2 linked regions of the Schizosaccharomyces pombe genome follow. The protein of the gene in region 2 binds, or shares a complex with, the protein of the main gene of each other region. Each region holds a gene or a part of one and is shown on either strand. Other genes may lie near its edges. A codon is read from its position in the direction of its gene.

The links.
Region 1: the proteins of pcn1 (region 2) and spd1 are in contact, whole or in part, in a crystal structure (PDB 6QH1), measured with the Schizosaccharomyces pombe proteins. Residues at the interface, in NP_596504.1 of Schizosaccharomyces pombe: Met40 (codon at 3,428), His44 (codon at 3,416), Val45 (codon at 3,413), Ala46 (codon at 3,410), Leu47 (codon at 3,407), Leu126 (codon at 3,170), Gly127 (codon at 3,167), Pro129 (codon at 3,161), Ser208 (codon at 2,924), Asp232 (codon at 2,852), Val233 (codon at 2,849), Pro234 (codon at 2,846), Tyr249 (codon at 2,801), Leu250 (codon at 2,798), Ala251 (codon at 2,795), Pro252 (codon at 2,792), Lys253 (codon at 2,789); in NP_594981.1 of Schizosaccharomyces pombe: Ile29 (codon at 2,794), Gln30 (codon at 2,791), Gly31 (codon at 2,788), Ser32 (codon at 2,785), Leu33 (codon at 2,782), Met34 (codon at 2,779), Val36 (codon at 2,773), Met38 (codon at 2,767).

The regions. Positions count from the first base shown.
Region 1 is NC_003424.3:5,408,725-5,415,366, reverse strand, and holds spd1 (ribonucleotide reductase (RNR) inhibitor), read right to left. Parts: upstream 2,925-6,642; 5' UTR 2,879-2,924; coding exon 2,504-2,878; 3' UTR 2,148-2,503; downstream 1-2,147. Other genes in the region: snz1 (pyridoxal 5'-phosphate synthase (glutamine hydrolyzing)), read right to left, coding at 1-181; histone lysine H3-K36 methyltransferase Set2, read left to right, coding at 4,553-6,642. UniProt on the Schizosaccharomyces pombe protein: Regulates the ribonucleotide reductase activity through its mediation of the nuclear localization of suc22, the small subunit of the ribonucleotide reductase. Delays the progression of the G1-S phase transition, thereby ensuring the G1 phase is complete.
Region 2 is NC_003423.3:3,613,120-3,620,340, reverse strand, and holds pcn1 (DNA polymerase delta processivity factor), read right to left. Parts: upstream 3,747-7,221; 5' UTR 3,657-3,746; coding exon 3,576-3,656; intron 3,467-3,575; exon of another isoform or gene 3,465-3,466; coding exon 2,763-3,464; 3' UTR 2,496-2,762; downstream 1-2,495. Other genes in the region: rps1801 (40S ribosomal protein uS13), read left to right, coding at 69-503; heat shock protein Hsp104, read left to right, coding at 5,265-7,221.

The sequences.
Region 1 (6,642 bases), on a different chromosome or scaffold from region 2:
CAACACCGCCCTGAGCACGAATATCGGCAGGAACACGCTCCAATGCCATGACAGCGCAAGCACCAGCAGCTTCAGCAATACGAGCTTGCTCTGCATTCACGACATCCATGATAACGCCACCCTTGAGCATTTGAGCAAGACCAGCCTTGACTTGAGTAGATCCCTTAATTTCGGCAGACATGATTAAGTAGATGCGATTAATTAAAATTTACTTTTTCCAAGCAAACAATAGGATGTATAAAGTGGTAAAACGAAAATGCAACAATGATTTTTCTATAGATATAATGGTCTTTGCCTTTAGACAAATGAGATACAAGGATCCTTTAAAGAAAACACCTAAAAATCAAAAAAATGAACCTTTCGAAACTCAGAACCTGACCAAGTTTTTATGTCAACACACAAAATGTGACTGTGATGATGGAAGAAATTAATCGAATAGCAAACAACACTCGCCTTATATACATTTTCATGCTTACCAAGATGTAATATAACGAAGCGTAGCATACACTACTTTAGGAAGTAAATGTCCGAAACCATTTGATTGATCCCGATAAGTATACAGTGGAGGCGCGTAGAAGATGTAAGCAACTTACAATTGATGTTGAAGCGATTTACAAAGAGGCGGATGTCTTTCTTTATCTAAACGACCTGCTAAACCTAACGTCAAATTGTTATGCTTGGAGGGAAAGCACAAAAACTGTTTCTCTCCTAAAGTCGACTTTAATAAAAGAATCCTCCTATTTATTTACATGCTGCAATTATCCGACAATTCATACTTTTGAGATGCTTCGTCATACTTTTAAAACGTACAAAACAATAAAGAATTACTAAATGAAATTGCTCATCATATATCCGGCGTATAAGTCATGTCTTTACTACCTTTATGGAAAGTTGCATACATTTTTTAGCGATCAATGGTAACAGGCGTGAACCGATTGCATCGGAAATATGGATATAAGCGTTCTACCAGATAATTTCTTGGTATGTTACCGATCAGCGTCTGCAATGTCCGTAATTTTTTGATGGATTAGGATACTGACTACCGACACCCAATATTCTTTATCTTATTTTGTGGGGACTGAGGTATCCAAGTCGCCGAAGAATGATCGATGTATCCATCTTGCGAGATATTTGCATGTCCATGGAAATAGATTTTATCAATACTAATTAAGAAGCCGCAAGTAGAGCCTTTCCTAACAAGGGCTTTATGCATCGCTTTATATACGCTGCTTCAATTGTCATTAGATTTTTGTTATGCAGTAATGTTTAACATTGTTTACCTTGAAACAAGATCGTTGAACTGGAAATGTAGTAATACTTCAAGGACTCCTCGTGTCCTGTTTGTTGTTTAATATAAACATACCAGGAATTGATTGGTATAACAATAACTGACTAGTAAAAAAAATCTGAAAAGAAACACATATTATTTATAACACTGCAATGTACCTAAAAACTGAAATACTCGTTTTCCACTGCTGTCTTATAGACTCATTTGAAAGGGTTTCAGCGTTTTTGTATGCAGTCATCCTCCCTATGAAACTAGTTGGCCATAAAGCGGTAGTAATTACTTTTGTTTTTCAAGCTAATAGCGGATGAGTAGAAGTACCAAAAAATTTACAACAAACTTTATCAAAATAACATCCTAGTTGTAAATTTTATGTGTAGATTAATTGATTTTATGGTATCTTTTGTTTTTAAATAAATTATTCCATTTTTCCCTCTCAAATTATTATTTTTTTTTTAAATATGACTGTTTTTTGCCATATTCGCTGTTTAGTTTGCACTTTTTTAGTTAGCTGAGTAACGTTATTACTGTCTCTTTGTAATCTATAAATATAAGCATTTTATTACATCTTTTCAAAAAAAAAATAATAATAATAATAATAATAAAATTTTATTACTGAAACAGCGTAGAATTCCGTGGCATGTTGGGTAATACTTTTCACATGCCGTAGAGAAAATATCAAAAATTGTTTCCTTTTACGTTACAACCCCTACCAACGCCCTAACATCATAAAAGAAAAAGATTTAAAGTAGAAATAACAAGTTACAAAAGTCGCCCGCAACAGGTTACTTTGGTCGATCTACATGTACACCAAAAAAGTGACATTTACTGAGGAAATACGAGGAATGAGTCTTTCAAAAAATTATGTACGTATTAGAAAAAAATTACTATTCAGATATTCAACGACAACAAAGTAATCCATTATAAGTTGGTCAAGCAGAAAACGATAAGCAAATAAGATAAAATAAAAAAAGATATGACTAGATCATTCATAGATGTAAAGAGTTTAATTAACAAGGAGAGACAAATGCCCAAAAGAAGAGGGGGTTTAATTAGTAGAAAATCACTTAGCCGTCACTCACAAAACCAATAATAAAATGTATTAATGGTATAGGGAATCAACAAAGTCAAAGACTAATGAACGAAGGAATAATTGGAACTATGAGGATTGGTGTCAAATTATCCTTAAAGAAGAGATATACGAGATTCACATTTAGCTTATAATCTCTCATTGGTACCCTCCATGACAACGTCAAACGGCTTCAACCATTCCGGTTCTTCAAAGTCTTGAGGAGGATTGGCCCAGTTATAATTAGGAATTGCTTGCTCGAATGGACGCTTAGTACCGTTAGGCTCATAAGAAAATGCGGTATTTTTTAAAGCAATGTTTTCAGAAACAGTGTTGTAAAGCGGTGGGTTATAGGCAGGAAACGTGGTTTGTTTCGACTTGTATCCGGTGGAAATTGATTTACGAACCCGCATTCCCACGTCCATTAAGGAGCCTTGAATGCTTTCGGGAAGCTGAGGACGCATTGAAGACTCAGGCTGCTCAACATGAGTCTTTGTGGTCATAACTCGCTTGCTGCTGTGCATTTTTTCCAAAATAAATTGTCGACGAACCTTTGTGTAGTGTTTGGTTGTGGGAGCGTTTGCTACTCGGCTTTGTGACGTTTAAAGCAGTCAAATTTGTCTGGGGAATGCCTATCGAACACGGATCTCTTTACATTTCACTAACCCACGTTATTCATAAATGGTAGAAAATCTACAAAATTTGGAATTGCAGTTTTATTGCTTTTGCGATTGAGATCTTGTTTTCTTGTGGTTCTGCCACTTTTTCCGCACTCTTTATATCTAAGAGTTAAAGTAAAACATTTAAAGCAATTAAATTCGCTTTCTCTTTTATTGCCAACTGCTTTCAAGGTAACAGCTGAAACGTTTGTTCGTTAAATTTGGTCAAACCTTTTGCAAAGCTTGAAATCGCTTCTTCCTTTGTTCTTCACATGTTGTCTCATCGTAACTTGGCCCCTGTTCGGTATGGTTTTCTTATTAACTTTACTGGCACCGTCGTGCCATGAAGGACAAGTAGCTGCATATAGATTGTAGTAAGTATAGCTTGAGTTAAAGACCTTTTAAGATAAGATACACATATATAAACATATGGAATAGGTTTATCTTTTTTTCTTAGCCTTTATTTTTGTTTAATAGCTTTTTAAAATTAACAATGACTAATGCTCTGACAAAATTTTAGCATTATTTCAATTTCGCCAATGTATATATTATGTGTTTAAACAATATTAACAAAAGTGGTTGGGTTTGAAGAAATAAAGAATCTACCTAGAATTAACAGGATGAGCATTTTCAAAATAAAATGACTTTATTACATACATTCCTAGTTTCTTTCTTTACCGATTCTCAAACTTCTGTTTAATTACTGCTTCAATAGATGCAGGTAGATGATGATTTTACATTAATAAGACCAAGGGAACAAAAAGAATACCAAATATAATTCAATACCACATGCTTGGATTTGTAAATTGAACATATTGTAAACTTACTTGTTCTGGGTCTATCCAGTATGAGCACGCTGACTGCCTCACTCAAAATATTCGTTGAAAAAGCTTTTCTTATTCATTCATTGTTGATAATTAGTGTCTATCTTTGCGTACCATATGTTTTTTGGATAAACAACCTACTACAGTTACATAGTATGATTGATATTATTAATTCAAAGATATTCGCTACATAAGGCGCCGAGTGTAAAAAACAGAGTGAATTTTATTACACTAACAGTGTTATTTCTTCAACAACTATTATGGAATTTCTGGAAAAGAATGGCATTCAAATGTTGCGCGTGATGGTGATTTTTTGTAGATGCTTGAATGAAATGAAAGTAAAGATTTTAAAGCCTTTTCTTTTAATAGGTTTCTTTAATATTTAACACTAAAGTCAAGAGTTGTCGTTTACACTCCGGTACTGTGAGCCCCTACGAGGATTCCGCGAGTAAAGAAGGAACGCCGCCAACAGCCACAACTTCTTCCTTGAGACAATTTCCTGATCTCACTGTTTCTTTGACACGAAACTTTGAAACGTTAGAAGATCTATATGTTACGCATCGAGATATTTTCGGAAATTTTCTAAAAAGAAGATTTTCGGTGAAATTTCAGCTGGTCTTCTTTCTATTGTTTTGGCTTCCTTCGGCAATTACTTTTTGTTCAATAAAACTGTAGATTTTTTAACTTTCTCTTTCTTTTTGTCCATTATCATACAATGCAGACGGCATCATCTCTTTCTGTTTTAACTCCTTTGAATGAGGAAAACGTTGATAGGAAGTCTTCTTGGTCAAAAGACACAATCGCTGTCCAGGCAGTCGGTTCATCACCATCTTCTTCGTCATCTCATGATTTCGAAAGTAAAGAGGATGCCGAAGGGATGAATAAAGACGAAAGTGCTCCTTCCCCTTCTACGTCCTCGCCATCGTCTGCATCCTCTCGGTCTCAAAGCAAATATGTTAGAAAAGAGGCACTTCCTCCTCAACTTTTTCATCACCTGGATTCTGCGAAAGATAAGGCGCTAACTACGTTCGAAGAGATTCAAGAATGTCAGTATGCTTCCGCCAATATTGGTAAGCCTCCAGAAAACGAAGCTATGATTTGCGATTGTCGGCCTCATTGGGTAGATGGAGTTAATGTTGCTTGTGGGCACGGATCCAATTGTATTAATAGAATGACTTCTATAGAGTGTACGGACGAAGATAACGTTTGTGGACCATCCTGTCAAAACCAACGCTTTCAAAGACATGAATTTGCAAAGGTGGATGTTTTCTTAACCGAAAAGAAAGGGTTTGGTTTGCGCGCTGATGCCAATTTACCCAAAGACACATTTGTCTACGAATACATTGGAGAAGTTATACCTGAACAAAAGTTTCGTAAACGTATGCGACAATACGATAGTGAGGGAATTAAACACTTTTACTTCATGATGCTGCAAAAGGGGGAATATATTGATGCTACTAAAAGGGGGTCGCTCGCAAGATTTTGCAATCACTCTTGTAGACCTAATTGTTATGTTGATAAATGGATGGTAGGAGATAAGCTAAGAATGGGTATATTTTGTAAAAGAGATATTATTCGCGGTGAAGAGCTTACTTTTGACTATAATGTCGATAGATATGGTGCACAAGCCCAACCTTGTTATTGCGGAGAACCTTGCTGTGTAGGGTATATTGGCGGAAAGACGCAAACTGAGGCTCAATCGAAACTACCTGAGAATGTCCGAGAGGCTCTTGGTATTGAAGATGAAGAGGATAGCTGGGAAAACATCACTGCACGTCGACAACGTCGTAAAAAGGGAATTGACGAAACTAGCAAAATTATTGAAGAGGTGCAACCTACTCCTCTGACATCTGAGTCTGCTACTAAAGTGATTGGCGTTCTCCTGCAAACTAAGGATGACTTATTAACAAGAAAGTTAATGGAACGCATTTTCTTGACTTCAGATCCTAGTGTATGCCGTTCGATCATTGCGTTACGTGGTTACAACATTTTTGGTTTGATGCTGAAGAAGTTCAGCATTGATATTGAGTTTATACTACGTTCTATAAAAACCATGTTATCTTGGCCACGCCTAACAAGAAATAAAATCCAAGATTCAAATATTGAGCCCGTTGTTCAAGAGTTTTGCGACCATGAGAACGAGGAGGTCAAAGATCATGCCAAAACTCTTTTAAAAGAATGGGAATCTTTGGAGATAGCTTATCGAATTCCCCGAAGGAAGCCTGGTCAAGTTGCTCCACAGTCAACGAACGCAGAACCCTCCAATAATCAAAGTAATCCTCCTTTAAGGGATCAGGAACCACAACGTGGCGATAAGGGAGATATAAAATCTGCAATCAATAATTCAACAGAAGATTTGAGCAAGAAACATCCAGCATTACATTCTTCTAGGCCTAGTGATAGTCGTTCACGTTCCAAGTTTGGAAATGACTATCAAAGCCATTCAAAACACAACCTTTTTCGTAAAAATTCTTTCCCTAAACGTCGTCGTCTTTCTAACTCTGACACTCCTTCTGAAACAACTACACCAAATAATGAGCAAGAACAAGTCAGCAATCAAGCTAATAAAGTAGATTTAAACAAGATTATTTCAGCGGCAATGGAGAGTGTCAATCAGAAAAATGTGTTGAAGGCACAGAAGGAGGAAGAAGAAAGAATAGCTCAGCAGAAAAGAGAAGAAAAGAGACGTCTTGCTTACGAAGAAAGTTTGAAAAGACATGCCAAAAAGTTGCATGAAAAGAAGACGAAAAGCTCTCAGGATGCCACAATTGATCATCATTTAACTTCGCATAGTCCTGAAAGCAT
Region 2 (7,221 bases):
GCAAAGATACTCAAGTGTGAAATTATTAAAATAATTCGTTTTCCTCTGATGTGATATTAACATTATAGTTTCAACACATTCTCCGTCTCCTCAACACTAACGTTGATGGCAAGGTAAAGGTCATGTTTGCCATGACCCAAATCAAGGGTGTTGGTCGCCGTTATGCCAACATTGTTTGCAAGAAGGCCGATATTGACATGTCTAAGCGTGCTGGTGAGCTTACCACTGAAGAGTTGGAGCGTATTGTTACCATTATTCAAAACCCTTCCCAGTTCAAGATTCCTTCTTGGTTCCTTAACCGTCAAAAGGATATCAACGATGGCAAGTCATTCCAATTACTTGCCAACAATGTTGACAGTAAGCTTCGTGAGGATCTTGAGCGCCTTAAGAAGATCCAAACCCACCGTGGTCTTCGTCACGCTCTCGACCTTCGTGTTCGTGGTCAACACACTAAGACTACTGGACGTCGCGGTAAGACCGTTGGTGTCTCTAAGAAGAAGTAAAATAAGTAAAATGATTAGCCTAATATTACTTGGATAATAAATTTCCATTATTCTTGCAAATTATAGTTTTCTGATTCTTTAAAACATCTTGCTTTATTTTGTATATTGAAAAAAATTAGGTGGATTTGTGATTTCTCATCAAATATTACACTACAATTTATTCTGATATAGAAATATATAAAAAACAGTAAATATTATTCAACATATTCAACCAACATGATTGATACTGACGCATCGACCTAAGAACCTTTATTATAACCCTACCTGAAACCACAGAAAATTAGACTTCTAATATAATTATTTGAAACGAGATAAATCCAAACTTTTAACTTCGCGCTTCAATACTCGTTGTTTTTTACTTTGTGGCACTGGTGCTTTTACATTTTCTTGAACGTAAAATTCGCGCATTAACATCACAGCTTCAGAGTAAAATAACCCTGGATAAACTGGATAGCTCGGATCAATAGATTGGCTGTCATAAATCGTAAGCAAAAACGAACTGATAAATTCACATACTCCTTGTTAATGGAAAATACGCTTCCACATCCGCCAAACCTATCGTTGCCGCATCCAAAATACACGGCTTTTATGTGAAGCTGTTTTAATGCAGCAGCACACATTAGACACGGTTCAACAGTCACGTATAAAGTGGTTTCTTTGAAAACAGATGCTGGGTAGTGTTCTAAAATTTTTTCTATAGCGATAAGTTCAGCATGTCGAATCCCCTTTATCATCGTCAGCAAAGGCATATTAAAATAAGGCTTACCGAGAGGCTGCAGTTAGTTTCATTAAAACCACGGCCTATTACTTCTCCTTTATATACAAAGACGCAACTACCGGGACTTCTCGGTTGGATAACGAAGTACGGGCCTAAATTTAGGACTTTTAGTTGTTAATATGTAGGAAATTGAGCTTACCATTTCATGCGCCAACTTCATATATGTTTCATGCTGAGTATCATATTTCACCGTATTTGATGAACTTGTTTTGTTCATTTCCGCGAGGATATCTTGAAGATGTTGGCTTACAAAAAGTAGGGCTGTGTCAATGTTTTCTTTTTGAGGGAGTATAATATCAGCGTTCTCTCGAGTCTTCCAATAATTAGTATACAACAGCAAATAAGAGTTTAACATACTGGATGAATCGAAGAGTCGTATGCAGGTTTAGACAAAGTTACAAACTAAAAGAAATTAGAATAAACCTAGAAGAAAAACCCTTACATCGTTCAAAACTTTGGTTAAGTCTCCTTTTTCTGCTTTGACCCTCTGTAAAACGCAGCGTTCCAAACGAGTATCTGCATCTTCATATACAAAAATTTTAGACGTATAGTAGGGCAGCAATTCGGGAAGAAGAAGATAGTAACCTTCGATTAGAATAATTCTATTCTGGTCTACAGGTAGCTTTATACAAGAACCATCTGGCAAACATATTTTCTCGGCTCCTTGAGAAATCAAAGAAAGAACTTTTTTAAACGCTTCAATATCGTAAGAGGAAAGTGCATACCTGTCGACAGAATTGGGATAAAGAAATGAAGTAAGATGGATCAATTTAGAAAAAGTTGAAGGTGCTGATGACTTTAAACGTTCAAGTAATTGCTCACAGAGTTGTGTCTAGTATTAAAGTATTAGAATTAAGAAAAAAATATTTTAATAAAATACCTTTCCAGAAAAAGGACCCCCAGCAATCCCAATGATTGCACTTTTCACACTATCTCCTGCCATAGTATATTCAACGCTAAAAATTTCAAATATAGCCAAATAGTAAAATATATAAATTATTACGAAAAGTTGGCAGTATAGAGAGTAAGGAATTCTATCTTCTTTAAGTAACTTTTACGCCTTGCTGCTACTGGTGGTAGCGTTGGTAGTATTTGGGCGAACTGTCCCTCCGAGGCTCTTACGCGGTTAGCCATATAAGTATACAATTATCAGTTAGAATAAATTCTCAGAATTAAGCTAATTTACATATCAATGTATTATATCATGTACTAGACTTAAATCAACAAGCTACAGCAGATGATTACGAAGTTATCTGTGAAAAATCATCACTAAGAACACAAGTTTTTCTACCCTTCAGTTTGTTGGTTCTAAAGAATTTGATTTTTTTTAAGTAAAAGCTGGTATTTTGCCTGTTTGGATATGAATGTTAGGGAAGGAGCAGTACAAAAAAGGTTGAATTAAAAAGTAAACAAAAGTATGTTTATAATGATGCTAGCTCGTCAATTGCAAAGAGATTACTAAAAGATATTGATTCCGTAATCTACTCCTCATCCTCCTCACCAATTTTTGGGGCAAGATAAAATCGTAAAAATCCGGATTCCATTTTATACTCCACAAGAAGTGGAACATCATTGCTCATTGAAAGTGTGACTCGGGTAGCTAAAGGAGTAGCCTTAGTGAACTGGGCTAAATATTTCAAAGAAAACGTAAGTGTTACAGCTTGGGTAAGAGAAATTTCGATACTTTGATCTTGGTCAGAAAGATCGGTATGTTGTTTCAGCGTGGTACTACCATTACCAATATCTCCCTTGCAGCTAAAACGAACACCCTCTTTACTAGCATTGATTGTTACTGAATCACTCAAAGTTAATAAATCTCGAGTAATGCGTTGAAATTCGGCAGCAGGCATAGTAATAGTAGCATCGTATTCGATATCTGGTATACCCAAGTGTTCTTGATCAATGTCCATTAATTTAACATCATAATCAGAGATCCTGTCATTTTTCTCGCTCTCGAAAACCAAATTCAATACCTCAGGTGTATCTTCAGCCTTTAAAGTAACCAAATCCTCGTTTTGGGCACACCGTAAGACCTTTGATAAGGCGTTCAGATTTATACCTAAAGCAATATTTCTATCACACCGATATGGTTCAAATCCATCTGATTTAATAAGCATAGAAACAAGGGCTACATGAGAACTATCCATAGCCTGCAGAGAGATACCGTTGTCATTGCAATCAAACTGTTATGAGGTTAGAGAATCATTCAAAAGAAGTTAATAAATATATTTTTTTTAAAAAAAAGAAAGGCTTTGTCGTTGAGCATCTTTATTTATATGCTGCCCCTTACATACATTAGCATCTGTAACTAACTCCTTGATGGCATCGAGAAGCTTTTTCAACAAAGCAGCCTGCTGAAATCTAGCTTCAAGCATAGTCGTAATTATATTTTATACAAGCTAGATAAGAGATATAAAGAATAGCTAACAAAGGTTACTGCAAAAACCTTTTGTAGTTGGCTTTTGGGAAGTAGTCAAAGAGCGCGTAGCACAGAATAGTGTGCGTAAAATTGCTAGCTGACAACGTAAAAAATCTCAAGAACCTTTCATATATGAGACCAAAATAGCAGTTCACGTTATTATAATTTGTTTTGTTATTTTTTTTATTTTTACAATAGCAAGTAATTTCGTCCGTACTTTTTAGATGCGTTTGATATGAAATATTATACAAAATTATGGAAAACTAACTGAAAAAATAGTATTTGCATGTTACTATGAAATTTTTATCTTTCGTTTGCTGTACTAATTCACGGTTCTATTTATGTCTTTTTAAAGAAGCAATATTCAGTTATCGAAATTTTCTAGCTATACGGATTATAATAAGCCAAATGTAATCAGCGAGTCATTACAATTTACGGCGTAAACTAGGAGAGCTTTCGCGTTCTACCTTAATATACTTTCCAGGATCAAATAAAATTTAGGCTACACTAATGTATCAAGTAAATTGTACATTTTCCATATTAGCTGCTACCGAAATTTATTAACTTATTTTCACGTTGCAATGACATATAAAATGATTGAAAAAAACGTTATTTTAATTGGTATTAACACGGAAAACTTAAAACGAATTTTATTGCTGGTTTAAATAAGACTAAAGAGGTATGAAAATAAGAATGAAGTATACTTGTTCGCTAAGGAAAAAATATGTATTCACAACAAATTCATTCGTTTTTTTTTCTTCTCAATATTCGTAGATTACAGTTACGTTAACAAGAATTCACTGTTGGTTTGTTTAGTTTATAAACCACTATGGTCAAGTAACTAAAGTTCGTTAAATGTCATTACGACGAATAATCGCTACCGTATAGAATAAGTAATGTAAGAGCTCTATCTTAGAAATAGCTTGGAAATATGACTAGAATCTCTGTAATAGAAGAACTATGTATCAAAAAATTATTTATTCAGTCATTGATGAATTCTAACGGTATTTAGCAAGATGCAATTGAGAATAAGTTGAGGTTAGTATCCGTCTTTACGTTGTTCCATACACTACGTAATACGCAGATCATTTCCGGGTTTCGAGTATTCCATGTTTAAAGACAATTCAAAGACTTTTAAGGTAACTGCATTTTTAATTTACACCGGTTTTTTTTTAAGCTATTTTTCTCTTATTTTTTTAAATCTTCTAGTCATGTCTTTGGGATTTACCCTACTTTATCCCTTTCTTTTTCTAGAGTGTAGGAGTAGGTTCGAGTAACAATGTAACTGGCATCTTCTGGTATGTTCCTTTCCTTCCCATAGTAACATCATCGTGTATATATATGCACAGCTTCTCTACCTGCGGCATCCTCAACCATCAATCTATAACCGAAGAATTTATTATAATAACGATATTAAGTTCTTATTAAATCGAACTGAAAACCGTATATATTTACCGTTCAACGACTCTCTCTTTTTTGTTTTATAACGAGCGACAAATATACAATTCCTTTTTTTTGGATTTATCTATAAATTATAAAAATTCCTATAATAATATAACTCGATATGGCTGATTATCCTTTTACTGACAAAGCCGCAAAGACATTGTCTGATGCGTACTCAATTGCACAATCTTATGGTCATTCACAATTAACCCCTATTCACATTGCTGCTGCTCTTTTGTCCGACAGTGACAGTAACGGTACTACCTTACTGCGCACCATCGTCGACAAAGCTGGTGGTGATGGTCAAAAGTTTGAGCGAAGTGTTACTAGTCGGTTAGTTCGCTTGCCTGCTCAGGATCCACCTCCAGAACAAGTGACTCTGTCACCTGAAAGTGCGAAACTGCTGCGAAATGCTCATGAACTTCAAAAAACACAAAAAGATTCTTACATTGCTCAAGATCATTTTATCGCTGTGTTCACTAAAGACGACACGCTAAAGAGTTTATTGGCAGAAGCCGGTGTCACCCCGAAAGCGTTTGAATTTGCTGTAAATAACGTCCGTGGTAATAAAAGAATCGATTCAAAGAATGCCGAGGAAGGATTTGATGCACTAAATAAATTTACTGTTGATCTTACAGAGCTCGCTAGAAATGGTCAACTGGATCCAGTTATCGGACGTGAAGATGAAATTCGTCGTACAATTCGCGTACTTTCTAGAAGAACGAAAAATAATCCAGTTCTTATTGGTGAGCCTGGTGTAGGTAAGACCTCCATTGCTGAAGGACTTGCTCGTCGTATAATTGACGATGATGTCCCCGCTAATCTTTCGAATTGTAAGCTTCTCAGCCTGGACGTCGGAAGCTTAGTTGCCGGCTCCAAATTTCGTGGTGAATTTGAAGAGCGTATCAAATCTGTTTTAAAAGAAGTTGAAGAAAGTGAAACTCCCATTATTTTATTCGTAGATGAAATGCATCTTTTAATGGGCGCAGGTTCCGGTGGTGAAGGTGGCATGGACGCTGCCAATTTGCTGAAGCCAATGCTTGCACGTGGTAAGCTTCACTGTATTGGTGCTACTACTTTGGCTGAATACAAGAAATACATCGAAAAAGATGCTGCTTTCGAACGTAGATTCCAAATCATCTTGGTAAAAGAGCCTTCTATTGAAGATACGATTTCTATCCTTCGTGGTCTTAAAGAAAAGTATGAGGTTCATCATGGTGTTACTATCTCTGACCGTGCCTTGGTTACTGCTGCCCATCTCGCTTCCCGGTACCTAACTTCTCGTCGTCTTCCAGATTCTGCCATCGACTTGGTCGATGAAGCTGCGGCTGCAGTTCGTGTTACTCGTGAATCTCAGCCCGAAGTTCTTGATAACCTTGAGAGAAAGCTTCGACAACTCCGCGTTGAAATTCGTGCTTTAGAGCGTGAGAAGGACGAAGCTTCCAAAGAACGTCTCAAGGCTGCTCGTAAAGAGGCTGAACAAGTGGAAGAAGAAACAAGACCTATTCGTGAGAAGTATGAATTAGAAAAGTCTCGTGGAAGTGAACTTCAAGATGCTAAGCGTCGTCTTGATGAGTTGAAGGCTAAGGCTGAGGATGCCGAGCGTCGTAATGATTTCACTCTTGCTGCTGATTTGAAATACTATGGTATTCCTGATTTGCAAAAACGTATTGAATATTTAGAGCAACAAAAAAGAAAGGCTGATGCAGAAGCGATTGCAAACGCTCAACCAGGCTCAGAACCTTTACTTATTGACGTAGTTGGGCCCGATCAAATCAACGAAATCGTTGCAAGGTGGACTGGTATTCCGGTTACTCGTTTGAAGACAACTGAAAAGGAACGACTCCTTAACATGGAGAAGGTTCTCAGTAAACAAGTAATTGGTCAAAATGAAGCAGTTACTGCAGTTGCAAACGCCATTCGCTTATCTCGTGCTGGTCTTTCTGATCCTAATCAACCAATCGCATCTTTCTTGTTTTGCGGTCCTTCCGGTACTGGTAAGACTTTATTGACAAAGGCATTGGCATCATTTATGTTTGATGATGAAAATGCAATGATTCGTATTGACATGTCTGAAT